2 linked regions of the Ovis aries genome follow. The protein of the gene in region 2 interacts with the protein of the main gene of each other region in a biochemical or structural test. Links are inferred from orthologs where the notes say so. Each region holds a gene or a part of one and is shown on either strand. Other genes may lie near its edges.

The links. The genes of interacting proteins can lie anywhere in the genome.
Region 1: the proteins of PSTPIP1 (region 2) and PTPN18 form a complex in vitro, tested with the Homo sapiens proteins (2 studies listed by BioGRID and IntAct). The link is inferred for Ovis aries from reciprocal best matches to the Homo sapiens genes PSTPIP1 and PTPN18.

The regions. Positions count from the first base shown.
Region 1 is NC_056055.1:114,201,187-114,211,702, reverse strand, and holds the start of PTPN18 (tyrosine-protein phosphatase non-receptor type 18), read right to left. Parts: upstream 5,917-10,516; 5' UTR 5,850-5,916; coding exon 5,757-5,849; intron 3,472-5,756; coding exon 3,363-3,471; intron 3,101-3,362; coding exon 3,024-3,100; intron 2,945-3,023; coding exon 2,849-2,944; intron 2,744-2,848; coding exon 2,705-2,743; intron 1-2,704. UniProt on the Homo sapiens protein: Differentially dephosphorylate autophosphorylated tyrosine kinases which are known to be overexpressed in tumor tissues.
Region 2 is NC_056071.1:29,928,880-29,938,599, reverse strand, and holds the end of PSTPIP1 (proline-serine-threonine phosphatase-interacting protein 1), read right to left. Parts: intron 9,255-9,720; coding exon 9,156-9,254; intron 8,301-9,155; coding exon 8,255-8,300; intron 7,338-8,254; coding exon 7,258-7,337; intron 6,712-7,257; coding exon 6,613-6,711; intron 5,579-6,612; coding exon 5,482-5,578; intron 4,951-5,481; coding exon 4,860-4,950; intron 2,630-4,859; coding exon 2,574-2,629; intron 2,355-2,573; coding exon 2,221-2,354; intron 1,297-2,220; coding exon 1,165-1,296; 3' UTR 992-1,164; downstream 1-991. UniProt on the Homo sapiens protein: Involved in regulation of the actin cytoskeleton. May regulate WAS actin-bundling activity. Bridges the interaction between ABL1 and PTPN18 leading to ABL1 dephosphorylation.

The sequences.
Region 1 (10,516 bases), on a different chromosome or scaffold from region 2:
AGAGGAGAGAGAAAAAGTTGGCTTAAAGCTCAACATTCAGAAAACAAAGATCATGGCATCCAGTCCCATCACTTCATGGCAAATAGATGGGGAAACAGTGGAAACAGTGGCTGACTTTATTTTGGGGGGCTCCAAAATCATTGCAGATGGTGATTGCAGCCATGAAATTGAAAGATGCTTACTTCTTGGAAGAAAAGTTATGACCAACTTAGACAGCATATTAAAAAACAGAGATATTACTTTGTCAACAAAGTTCTGTCTAGTCAAGGATATGGTTTTTCCAGTAGTCAGGTATGGATGTGAGAGTTGGACTGTGAATAAGGCTGAGCACCGAAGAATTGATGCTTTTGAACTGTGGTGTTGGAGAAGACTCTTGAGAGTCCCTTGAACTGCAAGGAGATCCAACCACTCTATCCTAAAGGAAATCAGTCCTGAATGTCCATTGGAAGGACTGATGTTGGAGCTAAAACTCCAATACTTTGGCCACCTGATACGAAGAGCTGACTCATTTGAAAAGACCCTGATGCTGAGAAAGATTGAAGGCAGGAGGAGAAGGGGACGACAGAGGATGAGATGGTTAGATGGCATCACTGACTCAATGGACATGAGTTTGGATAAACTCTGGGAGTTGGTGATGGACAGGAAAGCCTGGTGTGCTGTGATTCGTGGGGTCACAAAGAGTCGGACACGACTGAGCGACTGAACTGAACTGAGACAAAAAAATATGAATAATACAATTTGAGTAATACTATTCACAAGCTTGTACTAATTGACAGTTATAAAACAGTTGAAGGTTTCAACACTCCTGTTGGGAACTGACAGAACATTTAGAGAAAAGAAATCAGTAAAGATCTATCAGTTCAGTTCAGTTCAGCTCAGTCACTCAGTTGTGTCCGACTCTTTGTGACCCTATGAATCGCAGCACGCCAGGCCTCCCTGTCCATCACCATGTCCCGGAGTTCACTCAGACTCACATCCATCGAGTCCATGATGCCATCCAGCCATCTCATCCTTAGTCGTCCCCTTCTCCTACTGCCCCCAATCCCTCCCAGCATCAGAGTCTTTTCCAATGAAGATACAATAAAGATATAAAATATTAAAGTGTCTTTCAAAAAGACACAATCAATTTGACCTGATATTTATAGAATACTCAACCAAGCAGAATACAAATTCTTTTCAAGTGCACATAAAACATTTACCAAGATAAATCGTATTCATGGCCACAAAACAAGTTTCAATACATCTGGAATAATATAAAATTGTTCTTTGACCACAATGGAACTGAAATTTAATAACAGGAAGATATATGGAAAAGTCCCCAATATTTGGAAATTAACCACAGCTATAGTCAAATACCATGTCAAAGAAGAAATCACAAGGGCAACTAGAACACATGTTGAATTAACTGGAAAAAAAAGACAACATCGTTTATGGAATGTAGCTAGAGCAGTGTATGGAGAAAAATGAATGGCGTTACTTACACATGATAAAAATCACAAATCTTTTATCTAAGCTTAAAGAACTAGAAAAAAGCAAGTTAAACCTAAACCAGAAGAAAGGAAATGATAAAGATAAAAGAAATTAATGAAATAAAAATTTAAAATTAGAGAAAATGAATAAAATTCAAAGCCACTTCTTTGAAAAAAATAAAACTAATAATCCTCTAGCCCAGAGATTGGCTAACTTTCTATAAACGGCCAGATAATAAATCTTTTAGACTTTGGGAGCCATACAGTCTACTTAACTTGCAACTACTGAACGTGACAATTGTGGCATGTATACCCTATGTAAACCAATGAGCATGACTATGTTCTCATACATTTTTATTTACAAAAACAGGCAGCAGGACAGATTTAGTACAACAGTTAAAAGTTTGATTCTTTATTCTAGCCAGACCCAATAGCCAGGAGAGAAGATATCACAACTACCAAAATTAGAGATGAAAAATGTACATCACTATAGATTGCATAGACTCCATGATCAGCCAGCTATCCCAGCCGGCCAGGATGCAGAAACCATGTGCCTTCAGTGATAATACACATTTATTGAGTAACTAATTTATACTTATGGGCAAAGCAAAGATCCCTGCTCTCCTGGAACTTTGCTTCTACTCAGGGAGACAGAATAAACAATATACACAATGCATTTGTAGATTATCTTATATTTCATTCAGAAGTTGCTAAGAACTGTGAAGGAAAATGAAAGTAGGACCGGGGAAGGAGAGTGGGAGTTTCAAATGGGGTGAGGTCCAGGAAGATCTCATTGAGGAAGGAGCATTTGAGCCAAGACCTGAGGGTGGTGATGCAGCAGCCCAAGGGGAAAAATGTCCCAGGCAGAGGGAACAGACGGAACATAGGACTCGAGGCAGAACAAAGGCCCCAGTGGTCGGAGCATAGTGAATAAGTGGGAGAAACATGGGGAAAGACATCAGACTTGTACTGGGGAAGCCACAGTTACAGGGTCTTATGGTCTATGGGGCAGGAAGTCCAGCAGGAGAGGGTTGCCAACACTGGAAGGATGAACCACACGAATAAAAGGAAAATGATCATTTAAAAAATTAAAGCCAGTAATAGTGGGCTTGGCAGAGCTACAGTGGGGTCACTCCAAGAACCCGTCCCTTGAGTCATGGGATCAGGGGAGAGCTAGTGAGATTTCTCCTGTCTCCTGCATAAGGACATGCACTCCAGAGGCTGAGCACACCTACCCGTCCGTTCTCCATCTCCTGACAGGCCATCAGGATGACCTAGACATAGGGGTAAGGGAGGAGAATCAGTTTAGGGGGTGCAGTTATCAGGGCCAAGGGAGGACCCAGAATACTGGCCACACCTCCCCTTCCCCCAAAGCTGACCTTGACCCCAAATTCCCAGATGAGGCGCCAGAAGTCTAGCAAGGTGTGAGGCAGGGGTCCTTGCGTGGCGATGTAGGCCTGGCTTCCGTCTGCACCCTGGTAAAGTCTAAGTTCACTATCGAGGTTCTGCTGTCACCTCCACCACCTCTGCCCCTTTCCTGACTCCCAGCCTGACCCTGATGAAGTTGCCATTGATGTAGTCGCCATGTCCCTCTTCCTGGAGCAGGGAAAGGATCACTCGTGTCTGATCGTCTGCCAGCAGAAGTGAGAAACATGGACTTTGTGGGTGACAGCCCTGATGGCCTCCCAGATGAAAGCCAGCAGGGGACGGCACACCTGGGGGGATCCCATCAGGGTGCACTGGTGGGATGCTGGGGATAAATGCAGCCAGAGCAGGGCTCCTGGAGGGAGAGTTCTGGGAAGCCAGTAGGACACAGGGACCCTGGTTAGCACCTGGATCCCACAGCGTGGGGGCACCGACTCCTCCGGAGGCCCCACCCCCACCCCAACTTACAAGGCAGCACATCCTTGTAACGGTTCTTCCTCAGGTTCTCGGGGCGACTGCCGGCCTCCGTTGAGCACACGCTTTCCGTCTTCCAGGCGGCTGAGTGGGCCCGGATGTCCTGGTGGGAGGACCGCAAGAAGACCCGGGGGTGGGAAGAGAGAGCAAGAGAGGAGCCAGATCAGAGGCCTGGGACACTGAGGCTCTCAAAGGGATATGCGGCAAGTGCCCTATGAAAGGTGAGTGCTGCGTCCAGATAGTGTTGCTGCTGCTAAGTCGCTTGAGTCGTGTCCGACTCTGTGCGACCCCATAGACGGCAGCCCACCAGGTTCCCCCGCCCCTGGGATTCTCCAGGCAAGAACACTGGAGTGGGTTGCCATTTCTTCTCCAACGCATGAAAGTGAAAAGCGAAAGTGAAAGCCCTCAGTCGTGTCCGACTCTTAGCGACCCCATGGACTGCAGCCTACCAGGCCCCTCCGTCCATGGGATTTTCCAGGCAAGAGTCCTGGAGTGGGTTGCCATTCCCTTCTCCAATATTGATTCAATAACAGTAGCCATTCAGAGTGCCCTCTCTATGCTAAGCCCTGTGTAAGGGCATTGAACTATCTGCAAGGTGCCTCCGAAGTTGGTATTATTGACTCCCCGTTGTGCAGTAAGAAAGCTGAGGCACCACATGTGTCAGTGACTTTCTGAAAGTGCCACCCAGGAAGTGGGTGAGTGTTGAACTCAGACCTCTGAGCATCTGTCCCCATACCCTCAGTGTGTATTTACATCTTATCATGAACAATAATTGTAATATATTATGTACTTAACATAACAAACATGATACACAAGAAGATAATATACAATGTATATGAATTAAATGTATAACATTACTTATGTAGATACTATTAGGTGCTTTAATACTGTTAGATTGTTATGATCAGTGAATAGTATTGCCATCATCACCAGGCATTCATAATCATGACAATAATAAATAACACCTACCAAGCCACCGTGACTGCAAGCCACCATTCTAAGTGTTCTTACACCCATCAGGTAGGTTATTTAAGTCTTCATGGACACATTTCTGCAGTAGATACCACTATGGATATTTCTACTATGTAGATAAGGAAACCAAGGCCCAGAGAGGCCTTGGAAGATTCTTGTGAGCGCAGGAGATTGCAGGAGGCTGGCCTCCAGCAACTGGCACTGCTCACCACCCAGCTTCTGCATAGGGATTGTCAGCACTGCTCACTGTCCCAAACTGGACCCAGACCTGGATGGATATGATGTCATGTACTACCTGGGTATCATATGTTTAGATTTATTATGCACATTTTCATATTGCATAAATTATATATTCTGCATTTATTACACAGTTCTTATACATAATATTTATTTTATATTTGTATAAAGATGTATACTTTTATTATTGTTTCTTAGAAACTTGAATAACTGCTCATTTTATAAATGAGTTTTCATGTTTATTCTGTTCTATGAAATTAATGTATAAGTTATAGTTTATGACATATTTATACATATACACTATATATTTTATATTAATACAATTACTTCATAAGTCTGTTCTCTATTTCTATTGTTCTTAATGAATATATAGTCATTTATTACTTACATATATTTATCAGACATTTCTAAATTTAAGATGTCACCATATATGATTCTAACACGTTTCTATGTTATTATATTTAAAATATCTCAGTACTTGTACAGTGCGATGCCTACGACGCTGCTGCATTAGCACTCCTTACGTATAGCTTGCACTACCCCACTGTAAAGTTTAGGATTATTTATAACTAGTGGCAAAGCCGCCTATAAAGTAAGCGCTCAAGATGTGCTAAGCGCGGTTTACCCACACTGGCTATTTTAATCCTCAGGTCAGTTTCGTCACATTTCACCCTAGGAGAAACAGAGGCCACAGAGACCGGATAAAGAGCCTCAGGCCACATCGCCTGTAAGAACTGGCCTCCATATCCTCACTGCAGCGGGGCCTCTTGGTTCCTCTTTTCCCAGCCCCTTCCTCCCCAGGACCACAGTGGGGACAGTGACCACCCGGTCGCCTGGAGCGGCCGAGCATCGCGTGAGCGCTCGCCTTCGCTCAGCAACCCGACGATACCGGGAGCGCAGCTAGCGCGCAGGGACCCGAGGGCGTGTGCGGCCCCGCCCGGGCCGGCAGTGGACTTCGCCCTCTGGGGCTCTGCAGGCAGAGGGTGAAGACGGGCAGGGAGAGAGAGAGTGCGACAGAGAGAGGTGCTGGGGAGAGAAAAACAGAGAGATCTCGAAGTGAGAAGACGACCCTGGACGCCGAGAGAGAAGCAAAGTGCAGCAGGGTGCACAGAACAGACGGAGGTCCGAACTGTCCAGGGCGAGGAGCAGGAGCTCGGCAGTCCACACTCGCCCACTCACGCTGAACTCGCCGGCGAAGACCACCCCATCCCTGCCGCCTAGTGCTTCCAGCTGCTCCAAGAAGCTCCGCGCAGCATCCAAGCTGCGGCTCATGGTGCCGCCTGGGAGTGAGGTGCAGTCCACCTGCACCTCCGCTCTCTCGGCTGGGGTAGACTCCGCTGAAGGCAGCCCAGGCCCCACCTCAGATCTCGCCGGCCAATGGGAGTGCTCAGCGGCAGACAGGGCGCGCCCCTCAGCCAATGACACTCAGAGCCCGCCCCAGCCCCGCCCACAGGCTACCGGACTGGGGGCGCTAGGTTCCCCTGGCTGCGCGTGGGGCTAGAAAACTGCGCCGGCGCTTCAATTTTTTTGTCTCCGCGCGGGCTGGATGAGTCCCTATGGTCCTATGGACACCGCCTCTAGCTTGGGCCCGGGGTCCACGCCCTGGCATGGCGGATGGCTACATGCCCTCGCCCGGCCTCCAGGGAGCTGGACGTATCCGGATCCCAACCGGGGTGGCGTGTCAGCTGTGAGTAAAGACGGCTGCCTAGATGAAGCTGAAATTCCTGACTGGGAAACCCTATGTGGAGACCTTACCCCGCTCTGCGCTCCGGCGGAGTCCAAGGGAGGTTGGGAGAGGTTGCCGCGGGGGGAAATGACAGCCGGGCACCTGAGCTGCGAGAAAGACAAAATTTCTTGAGGTTCCTTCTTTTTCTGGGTCGGGCCAGGAGGAGCCGAGGGAGCCAGGATCATCCTAATTTGGGAATCTCAAGCTGTATAAAACTTCCAGGAAACTGAGAATTGAGGTTTTGGGAGTGGGTTCCAGGGATCTAGATGTTCTCAACGCTTTTAAGGATTTTTTTTTTTTTTTCATTCTCATACTGTCGTCTTCAGAAAATGGGGAGAAGGCCAGAGGACAGCTGCTGCCCGGGAGCCACAAAGGGAGAGAGTAGGTAGGAGCCAGGGGCCCCTGCCAAGGGCCGTTCAGTGTAGGTGAGCTACCCCATCCTTCACTTTGGAGGTAAGGAGTGTGAACCTAATTCATTAGGGAGTTATCAGAATGTTGTCACAGACAGGCAAACTGTTTCTTAAACGACTGAGGTCTCTGGCTCTTGTCCCAGCCACTCAACTTCGACAGGCAGGATGAAAGCAACCATAGGTCATATGTAAAGGGATAAGCATGGCTGTATTCCAAACTTTATTTGTGGACTTTAAATTTTAATTTCATGTGTCAGTCTTTTTTCTTTGGTGGGCTGCAGGCTGTAGGTTGCCAATCCCTGTTTAAGTGACTGAGAAGGCAAAAAGCAGGTCAGTAGGGATGTTTCACTTATTGAGGGATTGAGTCACTGCTGACTCACTGTCATCTTTGAAAGTTCAGAGGTCAGTAGTGGCCACCAAGGATTGACGTTATCAGTGAGTTCATTGCAGGCCAGTGAGAGGTCCTTCGACGTTCATGAGACTGTCAGTAGATGTCAGTGGCAGTTACTGGGAGGTCAGTGATAGACTGAAAGTAACCAGGGAGCCATTGGGACTTGGAGTGTTAGTTTACCAAGTAATTGAGGGGTCAAAAGGGTCAGACAAGTTCATTGAGGACCCCTAACCAGGGCTCGATAGTGAATGTCAGTGTAATCACTGAGATTTCTTGGATGGTCTCAGGACTCAGTTGTTGCACTCAGGGTGGTGGGATAAAGAAGCATCACTGAACTTTGAGAAAATATGGAGGTCCATTGGAGGAGTCACAGAGACACTTGAGCCCCTGAGTAATCATGGACACTAATAGCAATCATTTGGGGATAGTGGACACCAGGGTGAAGGAGGAATATCCACTGCGGATCACAAATGGGCTTTCTGAACCCTGCTAGTAGTGAATGTCATTGGATGTCAGTAGTCACTGGAAACTGTCAACCTGGAGAGCAGAGGCAACACTGAGGCTCAGTGAGCCCTGCGTATCTGTGGTGGTGACCAGGAAACAGGGCAGCTAATGCAGCAAATGGGTTCTGGCTAGCTGGGGGATCTCTGTTCCACTAGGGGCTGGAGGTGTGTTTGTCCAACAGGATGGGGTGTCTATATCTATCTGTCCCCCTGGTTTAGGGGACATCTGTCTATCCTGAGCACCTTTCTGATAGGCTGGGGTCTTTCTTACTGGCAGAGTTAAGTCTGCCAAGCTAAAGATCTGGCTGGATAGTTGGCTGGGTAGTAGGATGTCTTTCCACTGTCTCTCTGCCCAGTGGTGGTACTTTGTCTATTCCTGAAGGATTCTGTCTTTCCGTTGGCTGGAAGCAGGGTGGGAGGGGTGTCCTGTCTGGACACAGGTCTCTCTGCATGCCTGGCTGGTCATCTTCCCACCTGTCTAAGAATCTGTCCATTGTTTGGCTGTCTTGCTATGTAGTCTTTGCCTGGGACTTTATCTGGAAGTCTGTCTTACCAGAGGTTTGTGTGTCTGTCTGCCTGTCTGGGGATCTATCTGCCTATCTGGCCTGTGAACAGAGTGGCTGAGACTTCAGTCCACCTGCCCTGCTTCCGCCATGGTTCACTGTTTCTGGGTGCACATTCACCCACAACTCCAACCTTCCTCCCTGGCCCACTCTATGTCCTGCTCTTGTGAAGTGGACTGCCATCCTGACACTGGCCACCCCTCCATGTCTCTTCAGCATCCAGACTCTCCTGGCTTGCCCTCCACTCAGCTCGGGCACTGGGTGTGGGGGGGTGGGAAAACCAGCAAGACCTCCTCCAGCAGCCGTGGCTCACCCCTCTCCATTCTCCCAGAGAACTGCAAGCTGTGTTCTTGCAATGGGACTCACTGCTGCTGCTTGCCCTCTTGCACACACTCCTGGAGGCAAGCAGTGGGAACAACTGGCACTGTCCTGCAGGTCCTGGGCACTCCAACACCCACATGCCAGTCTGCCACCTGCTTGCCAGCTCAGAGGCCAGCAACAGAGCCAAGTGGACAGGGTGCTGGAAGGTGCTCAGGGAAGCTTTCACAATACTGTGCAGAGCCCAGCCTAGGCTGTTGTTACAAAGGGGAAATCGTAAACAGGAGAGACCACCTTCACCTAGAAAGCTTGTGAGGAGACAGTCTGAGACTACTGAATTCCCTACTGAAAAGTTCCTCTCCAAATTCCTTATTTAACTAGGCCACAAGAGGGAAGAAGAAATTTGAAAAAATTCTCCCACTGCTCTTCTCTGTTAAGAACCTTTGGTTGGGTGGGCTTACCTATTGGCCCACCTACAAGTCTGCCATTTGGCAAACAGAAAAATGCCACTCACTCAAGTTATAAATGGCAGTTTGCATTCACCAGTAACTGGTGGTAACTGTCTCTGTGAGGGCTTTTATTCCAGACTCTGGAAACTCTACAAGACAAACCAATTTCCTAACAGAATAAATCACAAAGAAAAAAGTTAAAGAGAACACAAATGCTCATAGCAGCATTATTCAAAACAGCCCCAAAGTGAGAAACCAAATTTCATAAACTGATGGATAAAGAAAATATGGTGTACACTGTTAGGGTCCACAAGGGGCTCATGGCGTATTGTTAAAAAAATGGCCCATTGTAGGTGACCTGACAAACAAGAGATGAAGTCACAGTGACCACAATGCCCTGGTGGTGGGCTGTTTTTTCCTTAAGGCAATATCCTGTTTTTCCCTGCTGATGCCAGTGTCTCAAGACTACATGGCCACCAGTCTCTGCAGGGTCTCTGGTCCTGGCACACACAAGGTTGATTTGAGCCTTCTGAGCATCTCTGCCGGGTATGGGGTTTGATTCTAAGCGTGAATTCGCCCCTCCTACCATCTTGCTGGGGCTTCTCAGCCCTCGGACGTGGGGTATCTCCTCACAGCTGCTCCAGCGCCACGCAGTGGCTGCTCCAGAGCCTACTGTCTTGCTGGGGCTTCTCCGACCTTGAACATGAGTTCAAGGGTTTGAGTGTCTCCAGTGGAGGTACGGGTCAGCAGTGGCCTGCCGCAGGGGCAGGGGCTCTGGGTACAGCAAACCTGGGTATGGCATAAGCCCGCTTGGAGGAGGCCGCCATTAACCCCACCACAGAGCTGCCAGGACTTACAAAGCCCTTGGAAATAGACTCTTGGAGGGCACAAACAGAACCTTGTGCATACCAGAACCCAAGAAAAAGGAGCAATGACCCCACAAGAGACTGACCCAGACTTGTCCATGAGTGTCCAGGAGTCTCCAGTCGAGGTATGAGTCAGTGGTGGCCTGCTGCAGGGTTGGGGGCACTGAATGTAGCAGTACACGCCTGGGGCCTTTTGAAGGAGGTCACCATTATCTTCATTGGATTCCCTGGTGGCTCAGACGGTAAAGCGTCTGCCTGCAATGCGGGAGATCCGGGTTTGATCCCTGAGTCGGGAATATCTCTAGAGAAGGAAATGGCAACCCTCTCCAGTACTCTTGCCTAGAAAATTCCATGGATGGAGGGGCCTGGTTGGCCTGCACCATAGTTTGGAAGTGAAGCAGCTCAGTTGTGTCCAACTCTTTGCGATCCCATGGACTGCAGCCTACCAGGCTCCTCTGTCCATGGGATTTTCCAGGCAATAGTACTGGAGTGGATTGCCATTTCCTTCTCCAGCGGATCTTCCCGACTCAGGGATGGAACCCAGGTCTCCCGCATTGTAGACAGACACTTTACCTGAGCCACCAGGAAGTCCGAACTCCACCATAGTTTGGCCCTAGGTAAATAACAGGGAAGGAACACAGCTCCACCCATCAACAGAAAATTGGATTAAAGATTTACTGAGCACGGCTCCATCCATCAGAACAAGACCCAGT
Region 2 (9,720 bases):
GCACATGGCCTCCTGGTCCCACTCTTGCCCTACTTACTGTCTGCCTTGTATCAGAGGGCTGATAGTATCTCTCTGCAGCTTCTGGGGTGAGCGAGCTCTTTGACAACACCCCTTTATCTTAGCCCCCCCCCCCATTTTCAAATACAGTGTCATTCACACAGAAGTCATTAAGATACCTTGCTTGATTGAATTACTTCTGACAGGTCTCGTATCTGGCTGACCTGGGCAACGCTTCTGGCTGCCAGTTCTCACTGGCTTTCCTCCACATTCGCTCCCAGGGCCTTAGGTGTGGTGTGGCTGGAGGAGGGCTTTGGCAGGCCTGGGGCAGCGGTAGAAGTTATGTTTCTGGGGCCAAAAAGAGAATGGCCTGAGAGCATCAAGCACAGAAGAGGAGCTTGGCCACCTCTGTGCGCAGGGTGGGCCTGTGTAGACCTGGGGCCCCTGCCTAGTGGGATCTGCTATGTTTGAGAAGGAGTGGCAGGCATGCAGCTGGGTCAGGAGACAGTGTGACCCAGCGGGCCTGCAGACCCCCCTTACCAGACTCTGCACCACGGCCCCTCTGCCTTGGCAGACTGTCACCTGTTTCTTGCCTGGAGCTAAGCTTGCTCATCCCCAGAATGTTCCAGGTGTTCCCTCCTCCCTCTGCTGACACACTGCCCTGACCCAGTGCTCTTCCCTGCCTCATGTCCTGTCTGCTGCTGCCCTGCCCTAGTCCCTCTGCCCCTTGGAGGCCTGCTCTCCCCCATCCTGGCTCTCGTGGGCTTCTCCCTGACCCCTCCCCCATCCTCCCTGACCCCTGTGGCCTTCTTGCCTTGGCAGCTAAGAGTGTGTCTCCCTGGCAGGGACCCCGCACTAGGGTACCTCCCAATCCTGAGCAGACCCGGCACAGACCCTGCTGGAGCCTCAGTGATGACACTGCAGGTGGGAAGCTCTGCTTTCCTGGACTCCTCCCTCCTTTACCTCCTCCCAGTGGAGCACTTGGACACAGATGCCAGGAGGAAAAAGAGTGCTCCTTTATTCCCTGTGGGAAAGACTGCTGGGGAGCAGCTGGCACCTTCCCTGAGGGCAGGCTCTGTCTGAGGCCCCCCACAAGGCCAGGGGGTAGTGGGGGCACGGCTGGCCCCACGGGCAGGACAGGTCCAGGGAGGGGCTTCTGTCTCTTCCTTAAATCTTCTCCAGGTAGGAGCCAGGGACAAAGCCACGCTGACCATTCCGTTGTACCGTCCACCAGCCGTCCTCCCCTTCCAGGATGACCTCCAGGATGTCCCCCGCAGAGAGATTCAGCTCATCGGAGTTCTGGGCAAGAGAAGGAAAACCCATCCGGCTGAAGGGGCCTGCTGGGAGGGCCTCTGGTCAGGCTACCCCCCAGGCAGTAAGTGTCTCGCAACTGGGCTGTCAGCTGAGACATGGCGGCCTCCTGGGGCTGCAAGAGAAGGCCACTCGGGCTAGGGCAGCCCTGAGAGACCAGCCTTTTGTCCCCTCGGTTTGTCACAACCTGGGGCTTCTTCCCTGGCTTTTCCTCCAAGCTGCTCCCTTCTCCCGCTCCCTGCCTGAGACACAGCAAGCTAGCAAGTCAGGAGCAGGGGTGTTTGCTATTCCCCAGGACAGCCAGCCCTTGTCTTGCAAGCACATCATTCTCCTGGGCTGTGCCCCCTCCCCAGGGCACAGGCTTTGGGAGTCAGTGTAGCCAGCCAAGCCCCAAGGAGATGCCTCAGTCCCAGTGGATCTGGGGTCCAGCTCTGTACCCCTCGCCTCAAAGCAGGGACAAATTAGAGTCTCTGGGGGTCTGGGCACAGCTGCCCTGTGGCTCCTTGACTCGTCCTCCCCTTGTGGGCTTCAGAAAATCAACCATGCACAGCTGAGGACCTAGTTCCGACCATGACTTGCTCTGGGCACCCATGGTCATGGGGAACAAGGCCTTTACCCACGGATGCAGAGCCTGCCCCTCAGACCACTTCCTCGGGTAGCTCCAGCTCCACCAGCTGGCTGCACACATGCATAGCCCAAGCAGTGCCCACACCTGCCTGGACGCCACATGACCCAGGGCCTGGTGCCGTTCATGAGCTTTCATTCAGCAGGTGTGCACCAGGCCCTTCCTGAATGTCAGGTGCTATTCTAAGGGCACCCACCCCAGCACCCTCAGAGTGCATGTGCCCACATGTGAGCACACCCTTGGGCATGCTGGTGTCCACGCAAGGAGGGGAGGGCAGGGGGCCTCACCTGTGCTGTGTAGTCATAGAGTGCCCTATAGTCCTGGCCTGGCACGGTGGGGGGCCCTGGCGCCTCCTGCACGGCGATGGCAGCGTAGACACCCTCATTCCGGTCAGGGGTAGGAGTCAGGGTCTCTGTGGAGGCTGAGTACAAAGTGAGGCCTGGTGCCCACTCCTTGCAAAAATCAGTAGTCCCCAGAGGCCCCCTGACTCACAGCATCCCCAGACTCACAGCATCCCCAGACTTGCTCAGCTTCTTCCCATCCCCTAACCTCCCAGCTGTTGGAAGGCCCATCTGTGCCAAGTAGGCATCCTCTCCTCTTCCTCCCCCCAGCCAGGGTGACAGTTGTCACCCCCAATTACCCGCAGAAGCCGGTGACGGTGTGGTCTTGGGACTTCCGTGCAGCAGCCCAGAAAACCTGGGGGCAGGAAGGACAGGTGAGTCGGAGTGGGGGGAGTGGATGAGGCAGGGAGCCCGCAAGGTCGGCCCTAGCTTCCGGGCACAGATGTGACTTATGAGGTGCCCCTGGGCATGAGGGCTCTCCAAAGGGTGGTCCCAGTGGCTCTTCCCCGGCAGCACCCTCCCAGTCCCTTACCCTGTAGATGTCTTCTCGGTACCTGTTCCCTGCAGGGCCAAACTGGCGGCTCTGAGACTTCTGTGCTCCAGGGCCTGGGCCCCATCTGGCCAGCCTCCCCACAGGCAAAGGAGCTGCCCCTAGAGCTCAGCCCACTCACACCCTGCGGGACCTTCACCAGCCTGGCCAGCCCTACTACTCCCCGACCACACAAAGCGGTCGTCCAGGAGGAAGTGTTGGGCTGATTCACCCCCTTCCTCTGTGCTTGGTTCAGACCTGGACTGAGCTAGACTTATGCAAGTATGTTGAATACAAGAAAAAAAAATGTGCAAGAAGCAAGAGGCAGACACTGGGGCACCTGGTACGGAGGCCCGTGTGGGTGCCCTGAAGCAGAGCTGCTGAGAGCTTACATGAGTAGAACCTACCTTCCTGGCCTGGTAGGTTCAAGCTAAGTCTGCAAAGACTCAGCTTCACCAAACAGAGACCGGGTGCCAGGCATGGCCAGTGACTGGGAGAGGAGTGCAGAGGTGCAGGTCGTACAGGCAGAGGGAGTGGAGTGGACCAGTTTGGGGTGTATAGGAGACAAGACTGAAAGAGGGACGAGGCCAGACACCGAGGGGTCTTGAGGGCTCAGGCAGGGGCAGGGCCTGTAGGAAGCTGCCCTGTAGTGCGAGGTGGGACCCAGAGACCTTTCCTGGGCAGCGTCTGCGGAGCTGAGGGTCCAGGACAGAGCACATGGATAGGCGAGTGTAGACTTGGCAGGCGTGGGAAGGTCTGATGCAGACTTGCCCTGCCAGGGAGGGTTAGCCCAGCAGGCTGGGGCTGGAGGCGCCGCGCCCCACTGCCTGCCTTCCCAGGGTCATCTACGCTCTCGACTCCATTCTTCCCTCCACTCACTTCCCCTGCCCCTCCCCAGCCCTGCCTGGCTTCAGCTGCCCCACACAAGGGTCCCTGCCTGTCCTCTCCAGCAGCCAGGCCTCCCCTGCAGGACTGCTTTCCCTCTTTTCTCTCGTCCTCATCAGGCCCCTCTCCTCTCTGTCCTTTCTCGGCCCTGCCCCCAAGTGAGCTCTTCAGACCTGTTGTCTAAGTGACCACCTGTGCAGGCATCTGGCCCTCACTGGGGGTGCAGGGAGGTCCGAGTCTCCTGTGGTTTTGGTGTGATAGTGAGGGTGGGAATGCCCACCTCCTAGGGTCCTTGCTGTCTCATGGTTCCTGGAGGAGCATGCCGTGGGGCCCACGAGCCTCAGAAATAAGCCATCCTCGGAGGGCCAGAAGCTCCGTTGCCTCCACCCCCACCCACACCCACCTTTCAAAGGCAGGGCCTCCTCTGCACTAGGTTGGAGGGAGAGAGGAGGTCATGGAGGCCTGGGGATGGGGCACAGGTGCCATGTGAAGGCCACGATGCTCCTTTAGATGCCCACAGATGGGGCACTTGGGGAACTGGCTGGGGGAGTGGGAGGGTGGGTGCACCCTGAGTAGGCTATGATGCTCCCAGTGGGCTGTCATCACAGACCTGAACCAGGAGGGTCCTAGGTCTGAGTCTGCCCACAACACTCACAGGCCCTGGGCCTAGAGGAGGCGTGTGAGTTGTGCAAGTGACACACTGGGGCCTGACGCCAGGACCCTGGCACCTACCACAGCCAGGCCAGGGAAGGGGGCTTGGAGAAAGCTGGAGAATTCTCCAAGAGCGCTGGCTGCAGGGCCCGCTCCTCTGCCCTGATCCTGTGCAGCGGCTGAGGGGCCTGACAGTCCAAGGCTCCGACCAGGCCAGCAGCAGAGCTCGAGGGGTGAGCCCTCCTGGAGTCTCCCAGCACAGTTGCTAGTGAATAAGTGGGGTACGACTGTTTCGTGCCTGGCTCCCCTTGGGCTGAGGGTGTCCTGAGGCTAGATTGAGTCTGTCTTGTCCCCCAAGAGTGCCCCCCACCTAGACATTGCACCAGGCACACAATAGGTGCCCAATAAATACGTGGGGAAGAGCCAGTTGCAGGAGGAGGGGCTGGCCCCTTCCTGGCAGCTCACCTCCTCTGGCCCCGCTCTGTGTGTCCCAGCCGGCTGGTGTCCAGCAGGCGCTCACCTCTTTATCATGCCACAGGATGGCTGGACGCCAGGGCTGCTGGACAACGGGGCCACCTCCCGATCGTAGTAGTTCTGGTAAGGCACCGGCGCTGCAGGTGACAAGTGTGAGAGGCCCAGGCTGACGAGGGCAGGGCAGGGGGTACCTGTGCCCTCTGACACCCCATCCTCTCCCCCTCCGGAGACCCAGACCAGGGCCCACCTTCCCATCCTGGCCCTGGCCTGCCCTGGTGCTTGAGGAGGGGGCCCCCTTTCACTTCCCTGAGAGACCCCACTGTGGGTACCACTGAGACCGAACGTTCTAGACTCAAGATTTAGCGGTGCCAAACCGTGGAGTGGAGTGGGGGCTCTGAGGCGGCTCCTGCCTCTCCCTACCTCTGTCCCCCCTCGAGTGTTACAGTGTCCTAGGCCCTGCCTGTCCTCTCTCTCGAGGAGGCAGCACATTAAGGACCCAGCCAGGGGCCTGCTCTGTCCCTGACCTTCCCCTGGGCCTGGCACCCAGAAGGGAGCTGTGAGCCACCCTGCTTCTGTCCTGGCAGTTGAGGCTCAGAGAACCCAGGCCAGGCCTTCCAGGGAAGGAGGACCTGGACCCAGCAGCCGTGTTGCCCACAGGCAAGCCTCACCTGGGGGCTCGGTGCCTGTGCTCTTGGCCTGGATGAAGCCGTCAATGTCGGCGTCCACACTGCAGCCTTCCAGCGTCACCCGCACCTCTTCGTAGAGCTGGGGGTGGGGGGAAGCAGAAGCTGAGGGGCCAGGCTTCACCTGGCCCACAGTATCAAGCCTGCCCCCCTCTTTGGGTCTGAACCCTGACCGGGGGCCTTGAGGTGTAACTGCTGCAGGCCTGCCTGAAGGGCTAGAGCCCTGGCTGGCAGCTTCTCCTGTTTCCTGAGCACCTAGTGTGTGCACATTCCTTCTCCATCCTCTATGGGAGACAGGACTTCCTCCTTTATAGATGAGAAAGCTCTGGAGAGTGACTTGCCCAAGATCCCACAGCAGGAAATGAAGTCAGTGCGCTGGGCTTTGGGTCTAGCATGAGAGGGTTCAGAACTCATACTCCCTCCTCTGCTACAATGAGGCCACCAGGTGGGCTCAAGTCATTTGGGGGGGAAAGCGCCCAAAACTCCACACCCGTGGGCAGAAGGGATTAGGCAAGTAACAGTGGTGGGTCAGGGCAGAAAACGAGCAAGCGAGGGCTGCATCAGCAGAGATCGAGGCCCCTGGCAGGGAGGTGGCCACCCCTTTCTGCTGAGCAGGGCCCACCTGGCACGTAGAGCTCAGTAAGGCGGGGGAGCCAGGACACCCTAGAGATGTCTGGGGACAGAAGAGGGACTGGACCTCGGCTCCTGCAAGCACCAGGCCTGGAGCAGGGCAACCCCAGGGTCCCCCAGCCTCTGTAAACCTCTGAGGGCCTGGGTCCACCTCCCCTCCCCTCCCTTTCCCAGCAGAGGGAATAGAGCTCTGGGGCTCTGATAGGAGAGCTGAGGCCTCAGGGCTGGGGCGAGCAGAGAGGGCAGACGCCAGGGTAACCACAACGCACGTCTTCCAGGCCAAGAGGCCGTGGCCTGCACAGTCCTGAGCTCCCTGTCGTTGGGGCCTGGGGTAGAGGCTCGGTGCTGGGCTCGGAGACCCTGAGGCCAGGGCTCAGGCCACAGAGGACTAGGTCTGCTCACAGGCTCAGGTGGACCGGCCTCACTGTGGCCCGGAGGCTGCCCTCCCCTCACCCCTCCCCTCTACCCCCTGCCCTCAGCCCCCACCTCATCGTCCTTGACGCACTGCATGGAGAGCTGGTTGCAGTGCACCCACAGGGAGTTGCGGAGGATGGTCAGCCGGTCAAACTCCTGCAACTGGAAGGCCTGAGGAGAGATGGGGTCACAGTAGGGCTTGGCCAAGCCGGGCCCCACCCACAGCGCCGCTGGAGTTGACCAGCCAGAACCGGCCTGCCGAAGCCAAGCCTAAAGGAAGCCTAAAGGCTGGGGGTCCCCACGCCCACCTCTGTGCCAGCCCTTGAGGCTTCTGGGAAGTTGAACTGCCTGTGGGACTCTGCCCCCTGCCCTTCCCCAGACCCTACCACCCCCCTGGGGTGTGTCTTAAGAGAAGCACTGGACCCTGAATCCTGTCTCCCAGGCCCTGCTCATCATCAGAGCCCAGGGAAGCTATGGGTTCTGTTCAAGCCTCAGTTGCGGCTTCAGCCAAAAGGAGCGAAGGATGCCTGCCTGCCTGCCTGCAGAAAGGGACTCCAAGCACAAAGGCAGGCAGGGAGCTCCCTGGGGAGGGCCTTGGAGTGAGCGGATGAGTGAATGAGGGAAGGAAGGCTGGCTTTCCCCACTGCGGTCCCCTCTTCCCCCACGAAGCGGCCGGAGCAGGGACGGGCATCAGCTCCGCACCAAGGGGTCACTCACCTCACAGGTGGCCCGGTGCTCCTGCTCCCACTCATTCCGCACCCTCTCCAGCTGCTCGATGTTCTGCCTGTACACCCGCTCTGGAAGCACACGGGTCCTCAGGGAAGCTAGCCCACCCCTGTGCTCCCTCAGTGCCCTCCTCCTCCCTGGAGGGACCTGCTCTGGCTGCTGGAGCCACAGATGAGCGCTTGTCAGGGCCCCTCACCCTGGTACCGCTCCTGGAGAGGTGCTCAGCGCTCACTGTGTTCCAGCTGCCTCGGGCTGGGGCAGAGCCTAAGGTCAGAGTCTGGGCCTCTCACCATCCCACCTTCCAGATGAGAAGCTGAGGCTCAGAGGGGGTGGCCCTGGAGAAGGATGAAGGGGAGCTTTGGGAGCTGGTGGGCTAGGAAGCCAGCGGGCTTGGACCGTGAGCTCTGTGACCGCCAGCCAAGGGAGCCTCTGCCTGGGTGTTGGGACAGGCGGTGTGGCAGAAGGCAGAGCTGTGTCAGCAGAGATGAGGGCTGTTGGGATCTTCTGGCATCGGGAGGAGGATAGAGGAGACATATGCCCAGAGAAGGCTGTGATGTGTCCCAGTGTATATGAGAGAGAGAGAGAGGTGTACGTGCAACGAGTGGGCCTGTCTCCCTTGATCAGTGGCTGTGAAGGTCCTCAGCCCTGGAGCCAGACGGCTTGCATTCAAATACAGTTACCATGACTTATTGGCTGTGTGACCCTGGGCAAGTTAAATAACCTCTCTGTGCCACAGTTTCCTTACCTGTTAAGAGAGGGATAGTAACAGTGAATACCTCATAGGATTGTTGTGAGCATTAGTAAAAACATACAAAGCACCAAGAACAGTGTTGGCAAATGCGAGAAAATGAATTTTTCATTTTACTTGCATAAGGAAGCAAGAGTGAGGAGCGTGGGACTGTGTCCCAGGGTGGAGGCAGTGTGCTGCCGGGGGAAAGATGTCCGGGCTGCCCACCCCCTAAGCTGAGGAGGCGGGCCAGCCGCGTACCTGCCTCCAGGGCTGAGTCCTTGCACTGCTTGGCTTTGTTTTGGCTCTGAGAAGACAGAGGGAAAGCGGCACTGAGGCCCGGCCCCGCGCCTCCCAGCCCAGACCTCGGGCCCCTGGCCTCCCTGGGCCTCCCTGAAGGGCCTCCGTCACATGGGGCACCTCCCGGCCACCTCTCATGGGGCAGGGAGAGCAGACGCTAGCCCTGAGGGGCCCTCCGGAACCACTCCAGCCTCACCCCACAAAGGACCACAGGCTCTTTCTAATAAAATAGGAATAAAACAGAAACCCGGTCATGCAGACACACGTGAAAACTAGACCTGAAGACCTAGAGCAAGCAATGCAGACCTGGGGCTCTACAGCCACTGCTGGACCTGCTGGTTGGGGCTTGGGCTCTGTCCCTGACTTGCTGCCACCAACTCACCCGCAGGCCCCTGCCCTCTCTGGGCCTCAGCTTTCCTGTCTGTGCAATGGGCCAAATGTGTTCGTGGGTCCTGGGGGCTTTGATATTCCCACCCTGGCCAAGAGGCCGGAGTAGTCAAGAGCTTGGGTTCTGGACAGCCTGGGTTTGAGGTCCTTTCTCTGTTCCTGCCTGGCTCTGAGACCTTGGACAAGTCACTCACCATCTCTGGGCCTGTTTCCTCTCTGGGACATGGGCCTACTGAGCCCTTCTCCGAAGGGTTGGGTGAGGGTTAGTGTCTGCCCTGTGGGCTCTGAGCCTGGGCTGCAGTGGGCCTGCTCTGAGGAATGGGTCGTTGGGTGCAGCCTGGAGACAGCAAAGGGGATCAAACTGACTATCTAGACCTTGAGATTCTAGGAAACCTTGCCTGGGGAAGTCTGCGGCACCCCTTCCCACCCTGCCCCCAGCCCCATGAGATTGCCCAGCCTCGGTGACTGCACGCACCTTCTCCACCTGCTTCTGTTGACCGTTGGTGCTAATGCGCTCAAAGGCCTGTTCAGCGTCATCTGCATCCCGGCACTTCTGCTCATACGTCTTCTTGGACTGGGCAGGGGGGAGGGAGGGGGCGGTGTGGAGGGGCGTGACTTGGGGGCCCCAAGGTGAGGCTCCTGAGCCCAACCTCCCTTCTCCCCGTCGGGCTGTAGATGGAAAGGGGGCCTCCACACCAGGGACAGAGATCTCGGGGTCTGGAATGGAGATGAAGAAGGGAGTCTTGTTCCCAGGCCCCCCTCTCCACTGGGGACAGTGTAGCCTGGTCCATGCCCCCGCCTCTTCAGAGGTGTGGTCACGTCAGACCACCTGCAGGGCTCGGGAAATGCTGTGTTTCATCACGATGCCAGACCCTGTGCACGCGGTCCTTTCAGACAGCTCAGGAGTCCCTTCTCCCTTCACCTGCGGAATCCCCAGCTGCCAGCGTGTGTGACCCTGTGGACCACTGTCTGAGACTGGTTGCTTACCCATCAGTCAGAAGCACCACCCCCAACAAGGGTAGGGGGCAGAGCCCCCGGGC